Nothobranchius furzeri: one gene and its partners. The protein of the gene in region 1 interacts with the protein of each later gene in a pairwise test. Links are inferred from orthologs where the notes say so. Each region holds a gene or a part of one and is shown on either strand. Other genes may lie near its edges.

The links. The genes of interacting proteins can lie anywhere in the genome.
Region 2: the proteins of transcription elongation factor A N-terminal and central domain-containing protein (region 1) and tarbp2 interact in binary tests that used the Homo sapiens proteins (3 or more experiments, as listed by UniProt). The two-hybrid records come from large-scale screens. The link is inferred for Nothobranchius furzeri from reciprocal best matches to the Homo sapiens genes TCEANC and TARBP2.
Region 3: the proteins of transcription elongation factor A N-terminal and central domain-containing protein (region 1) and csrnp1b interact in binary tests that used the Homo sapiens proteins (3 or more experiments, as listed by UniProt). The two-hybrid records come from large-scale screens. The link is inferred for Nothobranchius furzeri from reciprocal best matches to the Homo sapiens genes TCEANC and CSRNP1.
Region 4: the proteins of transcription elongation factor A N-terminal and central domain-containing protein (region 1) and ssna1 interact in binary tests that used the Homo sapiens proteins (3 or more experiments, as listed by UniProt). The two-hybrid records come from large-scale screens. The link is inferred for Nothobranchius furzeri from reciprocal best matches to the Homo sapiens genes TCEANC and SSNA1.

Annotation. Positions count from the first base shown.
Region 1 is NC_091754.1:47,119,642-47,124,506, forward strand, and holds transcription elongation factor A N-terminal and central domain-containing protein, read right to left. Parts: upstream 2,299-4,865; 5' UTR 2,211-2,298; intron 2,146-2,210; 5' UTR 2,083-2,145; coding exon 1,168-2,082; 3' UTR 990-1,167; downstream 1-989.
Region 2 is NC_091743.1:62,018,641-62,024,501, forward strand, and holds tarbp2 (RISC-loading complex subunit tarbp2), read left to right. Parts: upstream 1-2,584; 5' UTR 2,585-2,727; coding exon 2,728-2,780; intron 2,781-3,563; coding exon 3,564-3,878; intron 3,879-4,039; coding exon 4,040-4,109; intron 4,110-4,219; coding exon 4,220-4,337; intron 4,338-4,453; coding exon 4,454-4,581; intron 4,582-4,744; coding exon 4,745-4,940; intron 4,941-5,034; coding exon 5,035-5,192; 3' UTR 5,193-5,410; downstream 5,411-5,861. UniProt on the Homo sapiens protein: Required for formation of the RNA induced silencing complex (RISC). Component of the RISC loading complex (RLC), also known as the micro-RNA (miRNA) loading complex (miRLC), which is composed of DICER1, AGO2 and TARBP2.
Region 3 is NC_091747.1:49,828,903-49,834,904, forward strand, and holds the start of csrnp1b (cysteine/serine-rich nuclear protein 1b), read right to left. Parts: upstream 3,278-6,002; 5' UTR 3,049-3,277; intron 1-3,048. UniProt on the Homo sapiens protein: Binds to the consensus sequence 5'-AGAGTG-3' and has transcriptional activator activity. May have a tumor-suppressor function. May play a role in apoptosis.
Region 4 is NC_091746.1:74,033,982-74,039,974, reverse strand, and holds ssna1 (microtubule nucleation factor SSNA1), read left to right. Parts: upstream 1-2,716; 5' UTR 2,717-2,851; coding exon 2,852-2,903; intron 2,904-3,467; coding exon 3,468-3,667; intron 3,668-5,003; coding exon 5,004-5,096; 3' UTR 5,097-5,241; downstream 5,242-5,993. UniProt on the Homo sapiens protein: Microtubule-binding protein which stabilizes dynamic microtubules by slowing growth and shrinkage at both plus and minus ends and serves as a sensor of microtubule damage, protecting microtubules from the microtubule-severing enzyme SPAST.

The DNA of each region.
Region 1 (4,865 bases):
CACTAATGGCGTTTAAATAAACAGCTGCAAATGTAAAATCTCTGAAGAGCGAGACAGGAAATGATTCAGAGAATCTGATGAGTGGGGCTGCAGTTAAATAACTTCTGGTTTCACTTTACAACTAAAAGCAGTGCCTCAGCTCTTCAGAGGTAAATCAAAAACATGGCTGGGCTTTAAAGAGTAAATAACCCCCAAAACAACGTTTTTTTTTTTTGTTTATAAACTGTATAATTGGGTCTTTACAAATGTAATATTTCTGTTTCTGTGCATTTTTTGACATGTTTGTGTAAACTTGATTAAATCTAGATCTAGAAACATCTTAGGGCTGCCCCCTGTGGGTTGAACTGTGGCTACTGCATTTTAAATTTATGATTGACTGGGGCTGGTACAATTCCACGTCATCAGTACAGTCTCCTCCTACTCCTCCTCCCTCCCGCGATGGAAATTCCCCGCACTTGGCCATGCCACTCTGTGCCTCCTGGCAACGCCCACTTTCATGGCATGTTTCAAATCTTGACTAAGGGTGGAGTTACATTTTCTGATGGTGTGCAGTCCCTCTTTAAGGGAAGCTAAACTAAATACTTGACTTACACATTTATTTAATCCAGAAAACAAATAAAACTGTTTAAAAGCCGGTTTGGTATTTAGAATAAAGGTTGAAAGTTCTTCGTGAGGCTGGGACCATCTGTTCCTCTAGAGCAGTGGTTCCCAAACTTATTTAGCCGCGCACCCCCTTCTATGTCCCGACCATGTCGACGCACCCCCCCAGCCCCCACATCAGGGCATGGCTATATATATATATATATATATATATATATATATATATATATATATATATATATATATGTATGGTGACATATGACAGACTTCTCTGAGCTCTGCAGCCATTACACTTTTCACCTCGCGCACCCCCTAGCACCCCCGGGGGTGCGCGCACCACACTTTGGGAATCCCTACTCTAGAGGTTTAAGGGTCTTGTTTATGGAGGATGGAAGGATGGAGCTGCCCTGGGACACACTGGCATTACCAGTCCCTCTCACCACAACCAGTAGGTAAGGAGGATGAAGTGTCTTGTCACAACGACTGCGTCAGAATAACGGGGATGCAAATCTGCAACCCTCTGGTTTTGGGGATGAAAAATTAACTCCTCTGCCACCATCACCTGATTTAGAAGCAAACCCAGCCACTGTGGTACCACTGCTGACCACACCCCCTACAGGTCACAAATGTCATAGCGTCCTGGTCAATGCCTCCCTGCCTCACCCATGCAGGTAGAAACAGAGCACCCCTGGACACCTGTGTCACCCTACAGTCTGATCCTCCACACCGTTTGCAGTGGATCTTCTGCGTCGGCGTCCCCTCCACCCCTTGAGGAAGCTGTCTCTCACTCACACCTTGTGATGAAAACTCCTCTCTCAGCTGCCGGAGCTCTGGACTGGCCATGTCCTCCACAGACATCTTGGCAAAGTCCTGCGGCAGCAGAGAGCCACTCAGTAGGCCCTGGCACAGGTGAGGACTTTTGGGATTCCTCAGGTTTGCGACTTTGCTCCTCACACAGGTTTTGTATTTGAGTCTGCTGGTTTTGTGGAGGTCATGGATGTGCTTTTCAATGTCTTCAGCCAGCTGCTCCGCCTTGATCTGATCAGGAGGTTCAGGATGGAGGGCAGCTAAGAGAAGGTGAACGCATTTGGTCCTCACAGAGTCCGACAAAGCAGAAGTACCCTGGAGGGGACGGTCTGCCTGCTGTTCTGGAGCACGTACTCCACCATCTCCATCCACTTGGGCTGAAGAACCTGCAGGATCTTTTCTCTCATCTGAGTGTGTCCCTCCTGTCCTCTCACAGCTGTACTGTTTCCTCCACCTGGACAACAAGCTCTTAACCCCCTTCCTCACATTGGTGTCTGAGCAGGTCTTCAAGATTCCATAGAGGACTTTGACCAGTTCTGTTGTTTCCAGCTGCTCTGCTGTGATGTGAGACTTATCCAGGTCACCAAGGAGGGTCTGGATGTCCACGAAGCTTCGGTCTGCAGCCAGCTTCTCCATCTGGACAGCAAGGTGGACGATTTCCTTTGTGTCCATCATGGCTGCAGAGAATGTTATCTATTTTAGACCTTGGCAGGATGCATGTCTGTTATGTTTGATGTCCTAACGTAGATAGAGATGTCAGCAACACGCTTAAATACAGAATAAATGGGTTTAGACTGATTTACCTGAGCTTCTTCATGAGTTTCAGCTTCTTCCTGCTAACTGAGAACCTCAAACAAGGGAGCAGCCATATTGTTTTTGTCTTTCATCTATGAAACTAACTACATGCACCACTAGATGGAGCTGCTGACTCACTCACTCTGAAGGTTCAGCTGAAAGTCTTTCTGCATTTATGGGGAATAAAGTTTGTAATGTTTGATTTGTAAGTTCACCACAGTAGATGTGCTGCAGGATTATAGCTTTTGTAAAAGGATTCAGACGTGTGCATTTGGCTTCTAGGGGCGTTTATTCCCACAGCAAGCACAAACCCTTTCTTTAGACTACAATTCCTGAAGGTGTAAACACATATTTAATGATTAAAACACACTAATCCTTGGGATTGAGACCAACTTCATCATTTCTAGGTGAATGCAGCATGTTTGGACTCTGCATGCAGAAACAGGCCAAGCAGCCTCCAGACAAGAATCCAGGAGGGTATCTGGTAACAAGACGGGGCAGGCTCCTCAGCTCCGGAGCAATCATAGGTTATGAAGGCATGTTTGTGGTTTTAAAGTTAAGACCAGAGATTTTGTTGTACGTCAAACTGCAGAAGGGGCAGCTAGTTGTTATCCTCAGAGTGAGCCGCTTTAGAAAAGCTGCTGCATCGCCCAGAGAGACATGGGCTCACTGGATAAGAGAGCACAACTGATGTTGCTCCTACATTGGGATTGTGTAGCAAACTCTGCGTTTTTAACAGTGTCTCTATAAACAAAGTTGTGATTAATAATGTTTGTACTAACAGTAGATAGCTTTCTGAAAAGGCTCAGTTTGGTGAAATGTTTAACATTCCATAAAACTGGAATAACTTTGGGAATGTTACGATATTCCAATTGAACTTGACTCTTAGATTCGCCAGAAGTGCCACATTTTGCACGTGAAGTTTTCCAAGTGAGCATTAAACTGTATTCATGAAATGATGCTGCATGAACCACTTCCCTTGCACTAGCTGTTAGCAATTGTCAGTCCGGTAGAATGAAACTAATTTCTCTGATTTGAGGCCTTTCAGTAACCTGTCTTTAACTTCTTCTCAGAGACTGCCTTCAAACTGGCTGGAACACTAAACAACCGCCTCAATGAATGCTAGCTTCATGCTAACTGTTAATTAGCTGTAGCTAACTTGTCTTATGGGCCATTCCCATCTGTACCGGGTCGGCCCGGGCCGGGTAGCACCGGTCGGCCCCAGCCTGGCCCGGAAACAGTCCAATGGTCTCCTGTACCTCACAGCCATGACTGGTGTCTCTAGCTTCTCTAAATCATTTTGTTTCTCACACAAAGGTAAAACAAATAAAAGATGTGTAAAGTGAGGCAACTCAGCATGAAACTGGGGTTTATGGTAAGTTTAAATATGCAACAACAGAAATGCACAAACGTATAAACAAAGCTCTACAGCTCTGGGGGTAACATAACTGTCAGCGTGACATCACCATCTTAAACTTTATTTGGAATGTTTTTTTTTCAACATTCATGTATCTGGTGCCAGCAGAAGCATCAGCGGTATGAGGGAAAAGCGATAAAAGCTTCAGGCTCTTAAACAGCAGCCTTAAAGGAGGCTGGAGCTTCCAAGAAGCTTTTAACAGCTTTAATGTCTCAAGTTTCCAGAAAAAGGGGGAAGTGTGTCGGCCAGAGGAGTTATCTTTCATTTGGGACAGGAAATGTGCTATTTTAGACTTCTTGAGCTCTTTGTGGTTAGGGACAACTCCGAGTCTTCAGAGCAGTCCGGCCACACACGCCTGGAATTCCCAAAAACACGCAGAAGGACCTTATCAAGTCATTTCTCTGCCCGTCTGCACTTGAGGTTTCCTTCCTCATCAGTGAGAGTGGAATTTTACCAGCATGCAGGAGCACCACTCCCCAGTAGGGGGCGCTCTTGATTCTGTGCTGCTTCGGCTGCTTCTGACAAAGACTATGAGGAAGTGGGGTCTGTAGTCCCCGCCTTGCTCCAGCAGACCACGCCACAAACATGATGGCATGTTCGCCTGAACACACACACACACACACACACACACGCACACGCACGCGCGCGCGCCCTGGGGGATGCCTCTTGTTAAAGAGATCTACTTCAGTCATGACAGGTTGGCATGTCCCAACCAGGGCACATGTATCATAGTATGAGGTTCCGAAAGTGCCGTGCACAAGAAGAGCATGAAGAGGTGATTGAGAAAAAAACAATGACATTCCAACCAGCTTCTCAGTTCTGTTTCTCGGAGCTGTTTTTGGGTCATTTTGGTTCTGCTGAGGATGAGACGCAAAGTCCTCAACAGTCATGAGACCTGAAAGTGCTTTTATACAGGATGTTGTCCCTCCTGAGTCCAGTTGAAGACCACTTTGGACATGTCTCCTCCTATACTGTAGATGTCTAGAAACGATCTCAGATCAAAGACAGTGACATTGTGACCATGACAACAGAGTGTTTCTCTACTGCTGTCTGACTTAAGCCAGGTTTCAGATGCTAACATAAAAAAAAGTTTGTGGCTTTTTATGCAGCAGATGATCAGCTGTGTGTGTGTGTGTGTGTGTGTGTGTGTGTGTGTGTGTGTGTGTGTGTGTGTGTGTGTGTGTGTGTGTGTGTGTGTGTGTGTGTGTGTGTGTGTGCTGTTCCTTTCCCATCACACCCCCACACC
Region 2 (5,861 bases), on another chromosome or scaffold:
TTAGTCCTTACTCAACATTTAAAATTGCAATTTTAGATCAAATTTAACAAATGAAGATCAAAAAGAAAATTTGCTTTGTGTAATATATGGCAGACAAGTCTGGCAGCCTCAGCCATCATTCATTCACAGGTCCGAGTGTACTAGTACACGGGCTGAAAATGGAGACATGGTGTTGATGAATGTGGGGGAGCTGAGAGCACCTCTGTGTCTGCTGTGTCCTCCTACTCAGTGAGCAACATGGAGGCAGAGCGTTTATTCTATTCTGGTCCCTGAAAAGGGATTTTTTTCAATAGCTCCTAGGTAAATTAGTCAAAATAACCAAAATCATTTCTCAATTGTGTTACTAAGCCACACCAATGAGACACAGCAGTTTATGACACCTTTCATTTAATTTGATTTTTTATTAGGATTTTTATCCAAAATTAAGGGATTTTTTTTCAATAGATCCTAGCTAAATAATCAACACACCCAAACCCATTTCCTAATTGTGTTACTAAGCCACACCAATGAGACACAGCCGTTTATAAACACTTTCATACAATCTCATCTTTTTTATTAGGATTTTTATCCATAATTAAGGGATTTTTTCAATAGCTCCTAGGTAAATGAGTCAAAATAACCAAAATCATTTCTCAATTGTGTTACTAAGCCACACCAATGAGACACGGCAATTTTTAACAACTTTCATACAATTTGATTTTTTTATTAGGATTTTTATCCAAAATTAAGGGATTTCTTTTTTCAATAGATCCTAGCTAAATAGTCAACACACCCAAACCCATTTCGTAATTGTGTTACTAAGCCACACCAATGAGACACAGCCATTTATAAACACTTTCATACAATCTCATCTTTTTTATTAGGATTTTTATCCATAATTAAGGGATTTTTCCAGTAGCTAGGTAAATTTGTCAAAATACCCAAAACAATTTCTCAGTGTTGTTACTAAGCTAGATCAATGAGACACAGCAGTTGTTAACACCTTTCATGCGATCTGATCATTTTATTAGGATTTTTATAAAAAAAATTAAGGTTTTTTTCAATAGCTCCTAGGTAAATTAGTCAAAATAACCTAAATCATTTCCCAATTGTGTTACTAAACCACACCAATGAGACACAGCAGTTTATTTATTGTAGAATACATTTAGACCACATACATTACTATAATGTATTATAGCAATTAGGGATGAGCATTTTTGACGAATACGAGCATGAAACGAGTAAAACACGTAAATATCCGTAATCGTGCTGAAGGAAAATCCTCATTGGGTAACTGACTGTCTTCACGCTCTGTGATTGGCCAGTCACATAGAGCGCCCGCCCCTCCCTACACAGAAAACTGCAGCCGGCCGGGAGCGCAGTCCGTCCGGCTCATCCGCGCACACACACAGACAGTAACGGATCTCGCTGTGATTGCTTCAATGTTGCTCACGTTTCTTCAGTAATCCCTAGGTTTTCTTCAGCTCGCCTCTTTTTCGGTTGAATATTTAAAGTTACTTTTTTCGTAACTTACTTGGTGCATTTGATAAGACAGAGCTGACGTGCTGTGTTAGTCACTACCTCCGCTCCCAGGGTCAGATTAACACTTAGTTGTACCCTGGGCAACAATATTAAAGGTCCCCATCATCACGACCCAAGGATCACCATAATATGGTCACATACAGAATATTTTACTGTAATATGCAGTAAATATACTCAATACTTGAATGCCTGACATCATGTAACCCGCTCAGGGTAACCTTTGACCCACCTCGTGTGGAATGACCAATGAGGAGAGGGTCTAAACTTGAGGCCCTCTCTTCATTGGTCAGTCTGAATGAGACTGACTCTCAACTGGCGTTCAAAGTCATAGGCAGCGAAGCATCTCTGTGCAGCGCAAAAGCCCGGGTGGACAGTTTGTTTAATGTAGGGTGATCATATTTCCATTTCCAAACAAGAGGACAGGGGATCTGTGCCTATGACGTCACACTATGGCAACGCCACACAAACCACGTTGGGACCCATTTTTTTGTAAGAACTAAATTAATATCAGATTCTGCCAATAAAACGGCTCTAAAACAATTCATATGTAAATATTTAGCATATTTCTTGCAAAATCTCATTTTTCTGCTTTAGTGCTGCAACAAGGTTTTATTAATAAGAAATCATTATACCTTTTGTATAACCTAACCTAAACATGCACTCAAATATTTCATACAAAATATCTGACCTCTTATCAGCTGACATTTCTTTAATTGATAACAATGCTGACATGGAGTCTGAGCAAATAATACTTTTCCTAACACCATTTTGTTCTATCCACTGTAAACTAAATGAAATGGCTAACATTTCCACTGTATAAACTGACAGATTATTAGATGTTCGACTTTTATAATATATACTTAATGTCGGAATCCAGAAAGAAAATCCCGTTATATTTCCTGACACTTTCGACCCATCAGTATATTTAGGGATGAATGCTTGATGAGTGTCATTCCCACCTTCTGAGGCACAGAAGGCATTTGGGCCAATCGGGGCTTACGCTGCCCAGGACGCAATCTACGTCATAATCGTGTGACCGAGGTTGTCGCTGTAGAGGTGGTTTCGTCTTCTGGTATCCATCATGTTGCAGCTTTAGCTCATCGTTTTGGGACAACAATAAATACCGTCTAATGAGAGTACGTGTCTGTTGTGGCGGGGGGGATTTTACATCCGAAACCGAGCGGTTCTGTCTGCGCGAAACGGGGAATGAACGACGAGACAGCTTCGGATAGCTGGAAGAGAAACTCCGGGGACTCCAGGTGGGATTGTCTTCTTGATAAAAGCCATTTGTATGTAAACAATATAAAATGTCAGAGTCAAAGGCCTCAGAAACTAACGCGTGCATGTTGTTTTAAGTGTTTAATCTTCTGTTATTCTTTTAATCTCTACAGCTTAACTGTTTGACTCATCGTTAATACTCTTTATCTGGTGGCTTTTTACTGCTAGGTTGATTTTTGAGGGATTATTGTAATCTGGAAGGCAACAGGTGGTCAAAAACACTAATATAATGTTTTCCTAAATGTAAAGATCGGCATAAATTACACAAATCTCTTTATTCCATTTGTAATATATGTAATAAAATAAGCTGATTGCAAACATTTCTGGTTCAAATCTTCATTCCAGATGGCTGTAGCTGCCGCCTCACAAATAAATCATTGAATAAAAGTGCCTTCTTTTACTCTGATAATGTAAATAATAGAGTTTTATTGGTTTGTGCCCATTTCCTTTGTACACTGTGAAGAATCTCACCTCAAAACACCACACTTATTATTTGGGTCAGTATTCATTTGGCAAATAATAGTATTTTTTTTCTTGGAAACATATTTCACAGATTGAGCCTTAAAGATGGCACACTTTTCCTATTTCTTGTTGCATTTCGTGAAACTAAAATATAGACAAGTGTAGTTTTTCCACTGAACATTGTAGCGTATGCCCTTTAGATTTTAGCAGCAATAAACTAGCCACATTGTTGTGTTTTGATCTCAGTAAAGATGATAACAAAATAAGTGAACAGCTGCTTATGCTTTCTATCTTTTAAATAGTATTGAGCAAATGCTGGCTGTGAATCCTGGAAAGACGCCCATCAGTCTGCTGCAGGAGTATGGAACGCGGATAGGCAAAACCCCAGTGTACGACCTGCTGAAGGCGGAGGGACAGGCCCACCAGCCCAACTTCACATTCCGCGTCTCCGTCGGAGAGATCAGCTGCACCGGCCAAGGGCCCAGCAAGAAGGCAGCTAAGCACAAAGCAGCTGAGGCTGCTCTGAAGATGCTCAAAGGAAGCCTCGGAGATCCAGCTGGAGTCGCTGTCGGAGAAGACGTGTTTATCGAGGTTGATGTGTCTATTGACGGAGACTGGTCAGGACCCTACTTCATTTTAAAATGTAGAAAAGAACCTAGCGATGCTTAAGTGATGCTTAATGGCTTGTCTTGATTGGATCCAGACGATGTTTCAACATTGAGTTGATGGAAGAGAGAGATTTGTGTGGATTTAGTCTGTCCTCTCATGTTTTATGCAGCTCTCAGTCAGAGATGAAGACTTCCAGCAGTTCTCAACAGTCGGAATGTAACCCCGTTGGGGCGCTGCAGGTAACTACGCCATAGAGACTTTATTTTATCCTGGTAATCCACAACACTGGTTTCTGTTAGAATATTTCTATAGTTTCCTTCCTTTTTTTTTCTGTTTTGATTTACTTCAGGAGTTGGTGGTGCAGAAAGGATGGCGTTTGCCAGAGTACACGGTCACTCAGGAGTCGGGTCCAGCACATCGAAAAGAGTTTACCATGACCTGCAGAGTGGAGAGATTTGTAGAAATTGGTAAATCTTCTCTCATTCTTGTTTGATATCTGCATGTTGTGCTTTCACGCTCAATTGGATTTGTCAAAATCTGCTTTTATGCCAAGTGAAGGAGTGATTTCCTTTTTCCTGTCCAGGAAGTGGCACATCTAAGAAGTTAGCCAAGAGGAATGCAGCCGCTAAGATGCTCTCACGGATCCACGACGTTCCAGTGGACCTGAGGAGCAGCAACGAGGCAGATGCAGAAGAAGATACCTTCAATTTGGTGAGAGCTAAACACCACAGCAGTGATTTATATGCTTGCGCTTAAATTTCTTGTGCAATTCTCAAAATATCACAAACTGTGCCCATGTTATGGTGATGAAGCTTCTCTGCTTGGCTCTACTGTGTCTGTGTAAAACGTGTATAAAATCATCCCATTTACGCAGCACATGGGCAGCAGAGCGGAGTCGGGTAAAAGCAAAAGTTTCAGCTGCACCTGGGATTCTCTGCGTAACTCTGCTGGAGAGAAGATCCTGCAGCTCCGCAGCCACCCTCTGGGAATGCCAGCTGGCTCCAACTTCTGCTCGTTGCTGAGCGACCTGTCCGTGGAGCAGCGCTTTGATGTCAGTTACCTCGACCTCGGTGAGCTCACGCTCAACAGCACAACAGGAGCACCGTAAAGCGGTTAGAAACTCCTCGTTTTTTTTCTTCACATCCATGCTTGTTTGTTTTTCAGAGGAGCGCAGCCTCAGCGGCCGCTGTCAGTGTCTGGTGGAGCTGTCCACACAACCCATCACTGTGTGTCATGGCTTTGCTCCGAACGTAGAAGCTGCTCGAGCCCACGCGGCTCACAATGCACTGCAGTACCTTAAAATCATGGCAGGAGGAAAATGAGACACCTGGGCGCGTTTTTTGTCCGCAGACCCGAACTCGCCACCACGCGATGCCAATGTACACCTCCTTGTTGTACAGTAGAGGCTTTTTGACCTCAGATTGGTTAAGAGACATTTTTATCCTGCCTTGAAGCTAAACACAAGTTTATCTCTAGTTCATTTGTTGTCCAGCTGGTGAAAATCTCACAGCCTAAAACTCAAACCCACTCCCTTGATATTTTGTGTACTTGTGACAGATTGTTTTAGGAAAAAAAATTGTTTTTAGCCCATTTATCCTTCATATAATTAGCTGTTTTCTTACATATGAAGTTTAAAATATATACATGACGTCATAAATGATGCACTTTTGAGTCATATGTCACAAATGATGTTAGTTGAAATTAATAATTTTAAGTATGTTTTAAAATAATCAGCTTGTCTGATTTGAGTTCAAATTAATGGAGAAATTTGACTTTGTCGTTTTTTTCCTCAAATCTTTGTGTTTTATTTTACAACAAAATCAACGTCGGAGCGAATATCCATGAATGAACCATCTTTGACAAATTCTAGTAACTTTTTTTGAGTTTTGTAAAGGTCTTTTCTGTTTTGAAGTACTTGTCATGAAATAAAATATGATCCTTTTTTTAAAATACATTTAGAATACCAAACCCTGATAAGCTTTGTGATCTCA
Region 3 (6,002 bases), on another chromosome or scaffold:
AGTTGGGAAGATAAATCTCCGGCGAGGAGATTTGTCACCAGGAGTACTACACCGCTCCAACGTCTGATGCGTAACTGTGTCAGTCGAATAAGATTATCTGGAAATAAGAAGCTACAGGCTGTTCACTTCGGAGTCGCTTGCACCTTATCTCGGAAACAGAACCTGCCGTCTTTATGAAACGGGATCTGGGAATTATCGGGACAAACGATAATCAGGAGGTAAACAAAACAAAACAAAACAACTTCCACCGTTAACAAGGTAATCAGAGCAAATAAAGGCTAATGAAAACTAAACAGGAAATGTTAACACTAGTGTCTGTGGCTCATTAGGGTCACCATGGTAACCACACACCAGGGGATTAAAGAGAAAAGCAGTGATGGAATTTCACAGGGATGAAAATCAAAATCCTCTTGCATGTGTGTGTTTAAACTACCCCCCCCCCCCCATACCCTTTGCAGCCCAACAGAGCAAGTCACAGTTGACTTTGCCCCCTTCGTGCTGCCTGTCCAGCCTCCTCTGCTGCTGATAACAGCGTGGGCGGGAGCAACAAGTTGTGCTAACCTTGGCCCGCAGAGAGCGTTTACACGGCACGCTGGCAACCTCGCAGTGTCTGAGCGACTGACTGAGTGCTCATGTGATAATGATGAGCCAGGGAGTCGTCCTGCACGTGCGCAGTCATGTCCAGGCAGCTCACACACACCTCTCTTAGGCTTTGAGGTGTTGTGCGTCTTTTATTCTCCCACCTCAAGAGGTAATTGATAAGAGCTGTCGGGCCGGAATTTCCTGTTCCCGCACAGCTGGGGTTTAAAACCTCACCAGCTGTCATCCCAGAGTGCTCCACCTGCTGGAGCCAAAGCGCGTGTTTTCCCCTCTATGAGCCTGTTGTTTTCAGAGCTCGCCCGTGACTGTGCCACAGAAACATTCTGTTCTTTAGCCCCGTGCACACGCAGAGTCCAAAAAAAAAGTAGAGAGGTAGTGGGAAGGAGAAGAACGGATCGTACAGAGCAAATAAATAATGTCATGTCTCCAAGCCGCAGGAATTCCACTCTGGCAGCGCCGCTCCAGCTGTAACAGTGAGAGAAGAACACAGGCTCTATCTAATCCAGATGTGTTTTCTGCTGCTAACCACTGGAAAGTCTTACTCCCTTAAGGCATTTGAGCCTTCTCCTGCAGCCGCACCTGACTGGGTACAAGCCTGAATTCCACCTTAAAAAACACTTCTGTAACGAGCTGTTTTTGTTTTTAACCTGAGAATGTAACCTAAGGATTACTGTGTGTGTGTGTGTGTGCGTGTGTGTGTGTGTGTGTGTGTGTGTGTGTGTGTGTGTGTGTGTGTGTGTGTGTGTGTGTGTGTAGGAAGGGAGGAGGTCGCCGGTTCAGGGGTCGTGCTCCAGTCTGGGACACTTGCTGTATGGAATGCTGGGAGAGGACAAAGCCAGATGGGAGCTCTCTTGCTGCTGTGTTCAAGACTATCAGCAGGCTCCCTGTTCCTACCCCCACCTTCCTCCTCCTCCTCCTCTTTCTCACTACGCCAGGCACAAAAGTGTGGGGGCCATCCTGCTGACCGAAATCAAGCAGACAGCCTCGTCTGAACCCAGCTTTTATTTATTTTTCCTGTTGCTACCGCTGCCTCCTCTCCCAGCTGGGAGGAAAGATACCAAGTGTGCACCAGCTTCCTGAGGTTGTGAAACAAAAAACACAGCAGTGCACAGGAAGTGGCCATCCAGATTATCAGTCTGACAGCTGAAGGCACCACAAGGTTAACTGAAGACAAGATCACATGACGGACATGAGGCTGTTTAAGGGGGGAGATGTTTGTTTTGGTGGAAAATTCCCCTCAAGCATTACAGGGAGCTTTTGTTTCCTTATAATAAATGATAAATCTAAAAATGGGGGTAACAGAGTGCTATACATGAATATGTGGAATGCATGCCAGATTACATGGAAGTGCTGAGTGGCCTCACAGTAAACAAAGGATCAGTCAGCTCCATGGCGCCTGATTCAGGAAATTCCAAACATTATCCGGGTGAGGTCGCGCTAGAGACGTTTCAATGATCCAAACCTGGGAAAACAACGCATCCATGCACAAAAGCTAAATTATAGGCTACAAAAATATATATTTCAATTACTTTTGATTTAGGAGAAAAAACGGTGGTTTTATTAGAAGAATAATGATAATCCCAACATGTGTGATCAAACAATACATCTGGTGCGCGCACCTGGCCACCTGCGCAAAGGTGTGTATAAAGGCATAAATAATCAATACGAAATCAGTGATCGGATCCGATTCGGACGTGTTGATTCCTCACACTCCCCTTCTCCCACACAAACACACACGCCTCCATCTCAGCTGACCCGATCATTCCTCATGATTAATCCTAATGACAGCAGCCCTGTCAGCTGTGCGCTCAGATGTAGTTCCTTCAGGAGTTACAAGAGGCGCATCAGCACCGCGTAAGGTGAACAACTCCAGCACACGCGCGCGCGCGCACACACACACACACACACACGAGCTCATCAACAGTTCAGAGAAATCATTCCTAAAACACAGAATGTTGTTTGAACCAAATCTCCTCACTGCGCGCGTTAAGTTTCCTAAAATAAAATGAAATGCAACACAAAAGCCCCATCATATAATAATAATAACAATAATCACAATAATAATAATAATAATAATAATAATTATTATTATTATTATTATTATTATTATTATGACTAAAACGATGGTTGTTATGAAACTTCTGAATGAAGCAACAACTATTTAAGTCGCGTTTCTCCCCTTTTACTGGGTGAAATAACAATAAACCACCTTAAGCCACTTAAACAAGCGTGTCAGCGCAATAAACCTCCAACTTCTAGCGGAGGTCAGAACTCCGGCACAAAAAGCGTCTAAATGAACACATGGCGTGGTTTCTCACAAGTTAACGCGTTTAAATGACAGCAACACAATTAAACACTCTCAGACTACTCTGCTGTCCTCTTCGGCTCGGGTCAACATGTAAACTAGAGCTCATCAACAGCGACTACCCGGTTTTAATTAATACTCACCACCAGTTCAAGTATCCGATCAGCATTAGGAATCACAACAGGGTGGATGGTGGAGCCGTGGGATTAATCCAGAGGGGTAGATTTGTCAAAACATAAAAAAGAACGAGCGTTTATCCTGGTGTGTGTGAGCTCCAGCAGCTCTCGGTGCTATTGTCTGTGACTGTGTATGAGAGAGAGAGAGAGCTGGACGGAGCTCCGCAGCAGCTGAAGCGCTTCCCTTGTCTGTAGCAGACTAGCGAGAAGCGCAGCCTTTTTCGTCAGTGGAAAACTCCCTCCTGGCGTCTGGTGTGACGCAGGCGGTGACACAGGGAGGCTGCTTCACCCACGCTGCTTCCTGCCTTACTGTACCTACCTGCGCGAGCACACACACACACACACACACACACACACACACACACACACACACACACACACACACACACACACACACACACACACACACACATCAATAACCCAATCCACTACAGATAAATATTTTATGATTTATTTTATGTGATAAGAAGAAACAAACAAACAAATGAATAAATAAATATTATTTTATTAGAAACCTGATTGTTTGAAAAAAGATGTTGCTGGTGTGTCTTATTTCCAGTGACTAAACAGAACTGACTCACTTCTTCTCTCTCTCTCTCTCTCTCTCTCTCTCTCTCTCTCTCTCTCTCTCTCTCTCTCTCTCTCTCTCTCTCTCTCTCTCTCTCTCTCTCTCAAACGGAACTAAAGTGTCTGGTTTCAAAGGAAACGCCATCTTTTACCATAACTGTGTCAGACGGCTACTTTATGTGACTAACTGGGAGTTTTCTGAAAAACAAGAACCAGTTGGTTATAGTGACTCTGTAAAATTTAGAATGTAAATTACTGACTTTATTGAATAATAACAGTATTAACAGCAATTCACTAATTGTTTAAAGGTGTAGGACACTGAAACCCCATTTTTTGACGATTATTCCTGATTATAATCGGTCTTTGTAAGCTTTCTGTACAGGCTGAACATGAAAATAGTCTTCCACACCTATCTCCTGTCGCTTCTGATAGAAAATAGACGGTAAAACTCTAAAATTTGAAAATCCTGACAGATCTACGTCACACTGTTGCTCACGACGGCAAAGGCTGTTGTTGGTTTAGCATCCAGGAAACATCAGAGAACATCTAGACTAGCAGAAGCTAACTGTTAGCATTAGCAACTTCACCACACAGCAGAATTCCTCCAGACTTGTGTTATTTGTTCATATAAAATATCAGCATTGCAAAGCAGTGGTAGTGTTGCGTTGCTGTTATCCAGTTCAAGATGTCCAAATATCAGGAAATAAGACTTCAAACCTACAGCCTGAAGCTCAGCTCCTGTGGGTCACTACTAGTTCCTGAAAATGCAACACCAATGTTTATTTTTTCTCCCCCAGAGAATGACTTACAAGGCGTTCATCCCCCTTAGAGACCACTGCAGATGTATTGATTAAACAAGTGAACCAAACCTTTAATTTACTGAATCTCTAGTGAATTAGAACTGGATTGAACTGAACTCTGTATCATTCGTAGAAATAGACCGAATGAATTGGACTGAATGGAATTGGGATGTAAATGAGGAATTGACCCCATCCATCATACTGCCTGAGATGATTTCTGTTGTAAGAAAAAAGTAACTGAAGTGAAATGGAACTGAGTTAAACTGAATCATACTATTTGAATCAAAATGAATCAATTTTAATTGAACTGAATCTAATAGACTCAAAATGATCCAGATTGCTTTTAATTACTCTTTGAATCGAAACTATAAAATGAAGAGACAGTGAAATAATTTCAGTTGACTGACTTGAATCAAACTTGTAATCGAACCAATTCAAATCAAACCGAAACAGGATGAAACCAAATTAAATTCAATCAAATCAGGGTGACTTTAATTTATTTGAATCAATTCAAATAAAATTCAACTAAAATGAATCAAATATAACCCATTGAGACAGGGATTCAATTGAACAGCACAAAATAGAATTTGAATCAACTGAACCAAATCAGCTTGAATTCAAATTGATCGTATTTGAATCAAACTCAATTCAACTGAATCAAACTGCTTCAAATCAAATGAAGCAGAGACAAAAATAAGCGACTTTCTGAACAAAAGACAGAAGTGTGAAGTGAATGAATGAAAGAATCCCTTCTAAGTCCCTTCCTTCTAAGGAAATAAAACATGCTTTGAACATAAATCACATTTAAACATTAAATACGGTTCAGGCTGCATGTTTACAGGAAGAAAAACAAAAAAAAGCAGCTGCTGTGTCAGTGACACATAAAACAGGAGTTTTCGACCTCCTTTCTGCGCCTCCTTCCTCATTCTTCATTCTCACCACAACATCTGCAGCGTTTTCAATAAATACCTGAAACGAGAGGAGCAGCAGCTGGTTTTCTTCCATACATTTTACTTCTTTGGACTGAAATGTTACTGATTTGTTTTGGAATGTATTTGCTGTGACAGCCCAGCAGTACGTGTAATATTTGCAATATTAGAACACTGCTAGTGTGCAGCTCTGTTTCCACACTAAACGCTAACTGGAGAACCACAGCCCTAATCAGCATGCTGTATCATTTGTTTAGTCTCCATGTAGGAATTAAAGGACCAAAATAACATGTTTAATGTACAGCAGCTGGTTTGCATGTTTAAGGTTTACAACTAAAACCAAATTTGCTTTCAGGTCAAAGAAATGTTCCAGTTTCGTCCTGCTGGACGAGTTTGAAGCCAGTTTTCAGAGGAATATCATAGAGGAACCTTTGAAAAAAGGGAAAATGAGATATTTTTTTAAGTTTTGAATGAGGTTTACACAGACTTTGACTCTCAACCTCAGTATCTCTAATCTTTTGCTACTATCAACAACCCTGAAGCTATTGACGCCATCATCATGAGTGAAATTTAACTCCAAAGTACAGCACTGATTTCTGTCCAGCCCTTAAATGTTTTAAATTCC
Region 4 (5,993 bases), on another chromosome or scaffold:
CGTGGACCTGGCATTCTGGATCCGTACAGGAGGTCTCCCTGAGGGTATGTGTGGATGCGACAAAATGGCGTCTCATGTGTTTATGACTACCAGTCTCAGACTCTGATAAGTTAGGAGCAAACATCATCTCCCACTCAGACTTTGTTTCTCCGGGTACGAGGGTTCTGAATGACACTCGTTCACACACACCATCCATCTCACACCTCATTCAAACAGAACATCCACCATTAGAGAGTTAGTCTTGTTTAAATTGTTTAAAATTATTTAGTTACAAACTATCTTAAACATTTGAAGGTCTCTCTCTCTTCTCTTGTCTCTCAGTTAATACAAGGTGTCATCTAAATCCCTGCATTAAAAAGATCCAATCTTCTGATTAAATAAACCAGTGGTCCGCAAGATGGATTTCATACTAGATATGAAATTTTAATGTCTTGTGGTCCTTTATTAAATGTAAATTAAGAATGTTACACACCTCTCAAGATAAAAATCACAGGGGCTTCACAAGAACAAAATAAAAAATATTAAAAATAACAAGATTGAAAAATGATTTTTAAACATCACACAACTGGGAGAAGTAAAAAAAATGTGATTAAAAAAATGTGAAGAAAGGGAAAGTGAATAAGAAATAGATCATGAGTGGAACGCTAGGAAAGGCAGAATAGGTAGGATCAGAATAAGGAGAGAGTGGTGAAGGTCACACCAAAGCATGAACAGGTTAGCCTGGCAAGCCAGACTAAATAAATGTATTATTTAGTCTGGCCACGCTCCATTGACGGCTCTCGGTTGTGGGGCGGGTTCTACCGTTGTCTTTCAAATGATCTCCGCATGCTACTGGACAATGAATGTGACATACTCTTGTTTCACTCTGTTGCATCGTCCCACCCACCAGGCATATAGAGTGCCCTGATTGGCCCACAAATCGGATAAAGCTCTGTGATTTGTTCACTAAGCAGATAGAGCACTATGATTGGCCCACCATTATGGACCAATCACAGCTCTTAATATGTTTGAAACTCCTCTAGAGAGCTGTGATTGGCTAGCCAGAGTCCTGGTAGGAGCTGCTGAGGTTCCAATGGAGCATGCCTAGACCATTCTTTGCAATGCAAGAATTTGGTCTAGTTCACTAGGCTATGAACAGGTGAGTATTCAGCTGCTTTTTAAAGGAGACCACTGAGTCTACTGGTCTCAGTTCCAGAGTCTGGGGGCCACAGCAGCAGATGATCTGTCACCTTTGACCTTTAGCCTGGTGCTGCACAACCTGTAGGGTTTGGTCACTGGACCTCAGGGACCTGCTTGGGGTGTAGGGACTAAGAAGATCACCAATGTAAGATGGTGCTTGTCCATGTAAGGCCCTATAGACCAGAACCAGGATCTTGAAATGAACCCTGAAGTTAAGCGGCAGGCAGGCTACCATAGTTTGTACCTTCCTGTTACCCTGGCTAGCCATCCTATATATGTGGATATGTCGGTTGACCATGACCCATAGACAGAGCTCAGTCGTGGGGTGAAAGCTATTGTTGCCTTTCAAACTGCCTCTGCATTCTACTGGACAACAAACAAAGTGACTCTCACTGCTACGGATGTCAGTCAACAAGGTAGTCCACCATACTCTGTCGAAGAAGACACACATATGTCTTTTTTCTAAATGAAGGACTTAAGTACCTCTGTCTGTTCTTGACTCAAAGAAGAAGCCATCTAAATAGTCCAAAGTTGAGGCCAAAACCATTTCAAATGATCTGCCTCTGTCTTAGCTTTTCTGCTCTATCGCAATAACATCCCACCCACCAAACTGATAGAGCGCTGTGATTGGTCAGGCCTGCTAAGGCTCCAGTACAGTGTGGCTAGACCAACCTGCAGAGCAAAATAATTTTGCTTCTGCTACTGTCTGTCTAGATTTCTATGCCTCCTTCCTGCTGCATCAAACATTTGTTTTTCTTATTCATTTATCTGTAACTAGTTAACTGATGCTTAAAAACACAACGACTGTGTTCAGGAGAGATGGCCAGAATTTCAGCCCCACATCACCAGTGTACACAGTCTGGATCCAAAAGTATGGCATGGTGTCACCTGCTCCTGGGGAATCCTGGATTCAATTTTTAATCATGATGATCTATCTTTATTTACATTTATACTTCTGCTTTACCATTTATGTTTGTATTTTTCTGCCGTATCCTCATCCGTGGTACTATTATCTTTTTCAGCGTTCATAAAACTTGACTAAATCCAGCAGCTGATTTTTCCAGACCAGGAAACTAGAAAAGAAATGACGCATCAGATCCAAAACATTAGTTATTGTTGTTGGTGTGTGTGTGTGTGTGTGTGTGTGTGTGTGTGTGTGTGTGTGTGTGTGTGTGTGTGTGTGTGTGTGTGTGTGTGTGTGTGTGTGTTGTACCTACAGGTATTTAGAAATCATTTTATACAAACAAGGCTTAATTCATTTCAATGGAACTTTCACAATACAATAAAGAAATGTAAGTTTTGTGGCCAGCAGGATTTTCTGTGTGTCTGTTTGTCCTCAGCGACCAAAGTCTGGACATCAGAGACCTAGAAAAATTAATTATCTGCATTTACTCATTAATTTATTGAACTATTCACGTTTTTTATCACCAAAGGAAATACAGTGGGCTTTGTTTTTGTTTTGTGGAGCTCGCACTTCACGTTTCATCCACCAGATGGCGGAAGTGAGTCAACCCCGCTGTTTAGCTCCAACGAAGAAGAGCTCTCAGGGGGTGGGAAGCCCGCCGTTGCCTGATGAATTAAAACGTTTCGCTGAACGGAGACACATTTCCCTCTTTTAACCTTTTTCTCTCAAGATTTATTGAGTTCGCTTCAGTCGACCACTTTTACCAGGATGACTCAGCAAGGCGCCGCTCTCCAGGCCTACAACAACGAACTTGTCAAGTGTAAGTGACTCGTTTGAAGGATTAAATACTTTATTTCTTGATTTAAACTCATAAAATGTTCGGAAAATAGATAAAGTTGCTTCAGCTCTAGAATTTAATTACATTTTAACCAAACGCCACATTTAAATGTATGTAAAAAGTATCTAAATTTAACACTATGTGTGTAATTTAGTGTTTTAATCTGGTTTGTTGTTTTTTACATGTCTGCTTTAATCTGGACCACCATCAGATTAACCCACATGAAAGCTGAGCTTTATTAAAGCCATATGATTAAAAAATACTGCTTATAGCTGCGTTTCTTTAATATCCTCATTTAACCCTAAAACAACTAAAAATAGCAGCATAGCGGAACTAATGTGCTTTAAACGTTCCTACCCGGTGGTTAATCCGTGCGGCCTTCCTGCGGCAGTTTTTTAAACTTTCTGACTGGTTTACACAGTTTTCTTGTTCTGGGGAGCCATCAGAAATGTTAGATTGATGTTTTAGTTGAATAAAGTAAAGCTAAGCTCGTGTTTTTGGATCAGAGCCACTTCAGGTGTAATAAAGCTTTCATTTTCCTGTCAGGTATCGAGGAGCTGTGCTCAAAGCAAGAGGAACTAAACCGACAGATCCGTCAAGAGGAAGATGAGAAGGAACGTCTGGAGCACGACATCCGTGTTCTGTCTGAGAAACTGAGCCGGGTCAACGAGAGCCTGGCACGAAGACTCTCAGCGCGTACGACACTGGACCGCACCATCGCTGAGACAGAAGCTGCCTACGCCAAGGTGTGTCCTGGTTCCGTCTACATCAGGGCTCTCCGGCTCTGCTCCCATAGGACTCTGATCCAAGATGTTTCAGTTGTTTTCGTGCTCCACCACACCTGATTCCATGGTTTACTCACCTGTTCGGCAGCTCATGAGGCCCTACAGAAGCCTCCTGATTAAAACCTGATGTGTTGAAGCAGAGAAACAAATCAAATCGGCTGTACGGTGGCCCTGGAGGACCACGGCTGGACATTATTAACCTGAACCTGATGAGGTTTTGTAAAAGTTTTTGTTAAAAATGAGAGGAGCGTAGCTTTGATTTACCAGAATAATTCCAAATCCCAACAAGTCAACGAGCTTAATAGTGTAGAAGGGAGATAAATTCAACTGTTTCGTCACGATTACCAGGATAAAACGTGTTGTCATGGCAACGTGGGGTTAAAACAAGGCTAGCCCCATCGAGCGATGATTCCACGTGACTTAGAGGAACATTTCAGACATTTGTTTCGTTGTCTTACTGTAGATGGCCTTCTGCCAGGCTGCTGTTCGGAGGGATAGACGAGCTAACGGCTAGTCTGAGACAAATTCACAGGGTGCAAGCTGTCTTAAAGCAGTCACGTCAGTTCCCGTGGTGTTCTGTTTTACCCTTTAAGTGCCAAATTCCTCTGATAATATTCCAGGAAATTTATCCTCTCGTGCAGGAGTGGGCAACTCCCTTCCCAGATGGCTGGTACCCAGCCTGTTTTTGTTGTTTCCCTGCTCCGACACACTCGAGTCACCTGCTCAGCAACTCATCAGGCTCTGCAGAAGCCTCTTAATCACCTACTGAATAAAGTCTGGTGTGTTGAAGCAGGGAGCTGATTAAAACATGCTGGATACCGGCCCTCGGAAAAAGGAGTTTGTCCCCTCGCTCTTGTTTAAGGTTTTATAAAATAATGCCACATGAACCGCTCTGGAAGTTTAGAGCAGGTCTAAGAAGAAAGAGTTTTTATGTGGATAAAATCACAAGAAAATCAGGAAAATGACTCAAAAAGGTAAGTGAAGTAAACGCGAGAGTCCGAAAGATGCAGATTTAGTAGAAACACCAGCCTGAACATCGTCTAGATCCTTGGGTCTGGTGTTTAATCCCGTAACCGTGTTTTAGCGTCTGTCAGATAAATCAGGCGGATCAGACCAGATTAGGCCACCGCTGAAGGTTCGTCGTGTTTCTGTGTTGTTGCTGAACTCCGCCTTAAACGAGTGAAAACACACTCCTGCTCTGCTCTAATTATAAAACAACAAGGACACCCGCAGCCCTTCTCTCCTCCTCATCTCAGCGTGAACGTGTTTTACTGTTGATTTTTTATCCTTTTTACAGATTTTAGAAAGTTCCCAATCACTTCTGAGCGTTCTGAAGCAGGAAGCAGGAAACCTCAGCAAGGTCACGGAGCCTCAGAGGAGGGATCATTAACGGCGAGGCGACGTCGGCAACCACAGAAAGACGTTTTTGCACATTTAAGGACTCTTTTGTACCGCTTCTAATGTTTTTTTCTTTCTCCAACATAATAAATGTATTTAACTCTCGTTTGGTGACAGAATAATAAATAAGTCGCTGACTCGTTTGTTCAGGTTGTCGGTTTATTCAGCTTTTCTTTGTACAAGTATGACATCATCTTTTTAATTTGCCCCAGTTACTGACAGTTTACAGGTAAGCACATCAGCTGATGGAGATCTACAGACATGGGGGAGGGGGGGGGGGGGGGGAACGATGGATGAGGTGGAGTTTCTACCACAGAGTCCAACATAAACACAGAAGGTCCAGGTTCTGGTTCTGCTGAAGTTCTTGCTGGTGTCAGAAAAAACAATCAGTGGATTTTTGTGATTGGGGGGGGGGGGGTTTACATGACCACGAGCGAGTCACCACAGCAGGTCCAGATAACACCACAGCTACTAAAACCTTCACATCGCTGCTGATAAATCAGACACTTCAAGTAACGATTGATTTTCATTCTGATCATCGATAAGGCCGAACGTTTCATCGCGCTGGCAGCAAACGCTCCGCCTTTTTATGACCGAGGCACTGAAGTCCAGATGTTTGAGTCGAACTGGAGCTCAGAGATACTTCCTGCTGGGTCTTCATGTCAGAAATGTGTCTGCTTGACTTTTAAAGGCAGAACGATCATAAAAGCAGATAAAGACTCAGCATTATTAATCAAAACCACCTTAATTCATTACGTTTGGCTGCTGGAAGGAAAATATGAAGAAACGAGGGATGATTAAAAACTGCTTGATCCGTAAATAAAAGCAAGTGATGCAAAACTAATGAAAAGAAAAGATTTCCTATTTCTGGAAAAGTGTCGAATAAAAA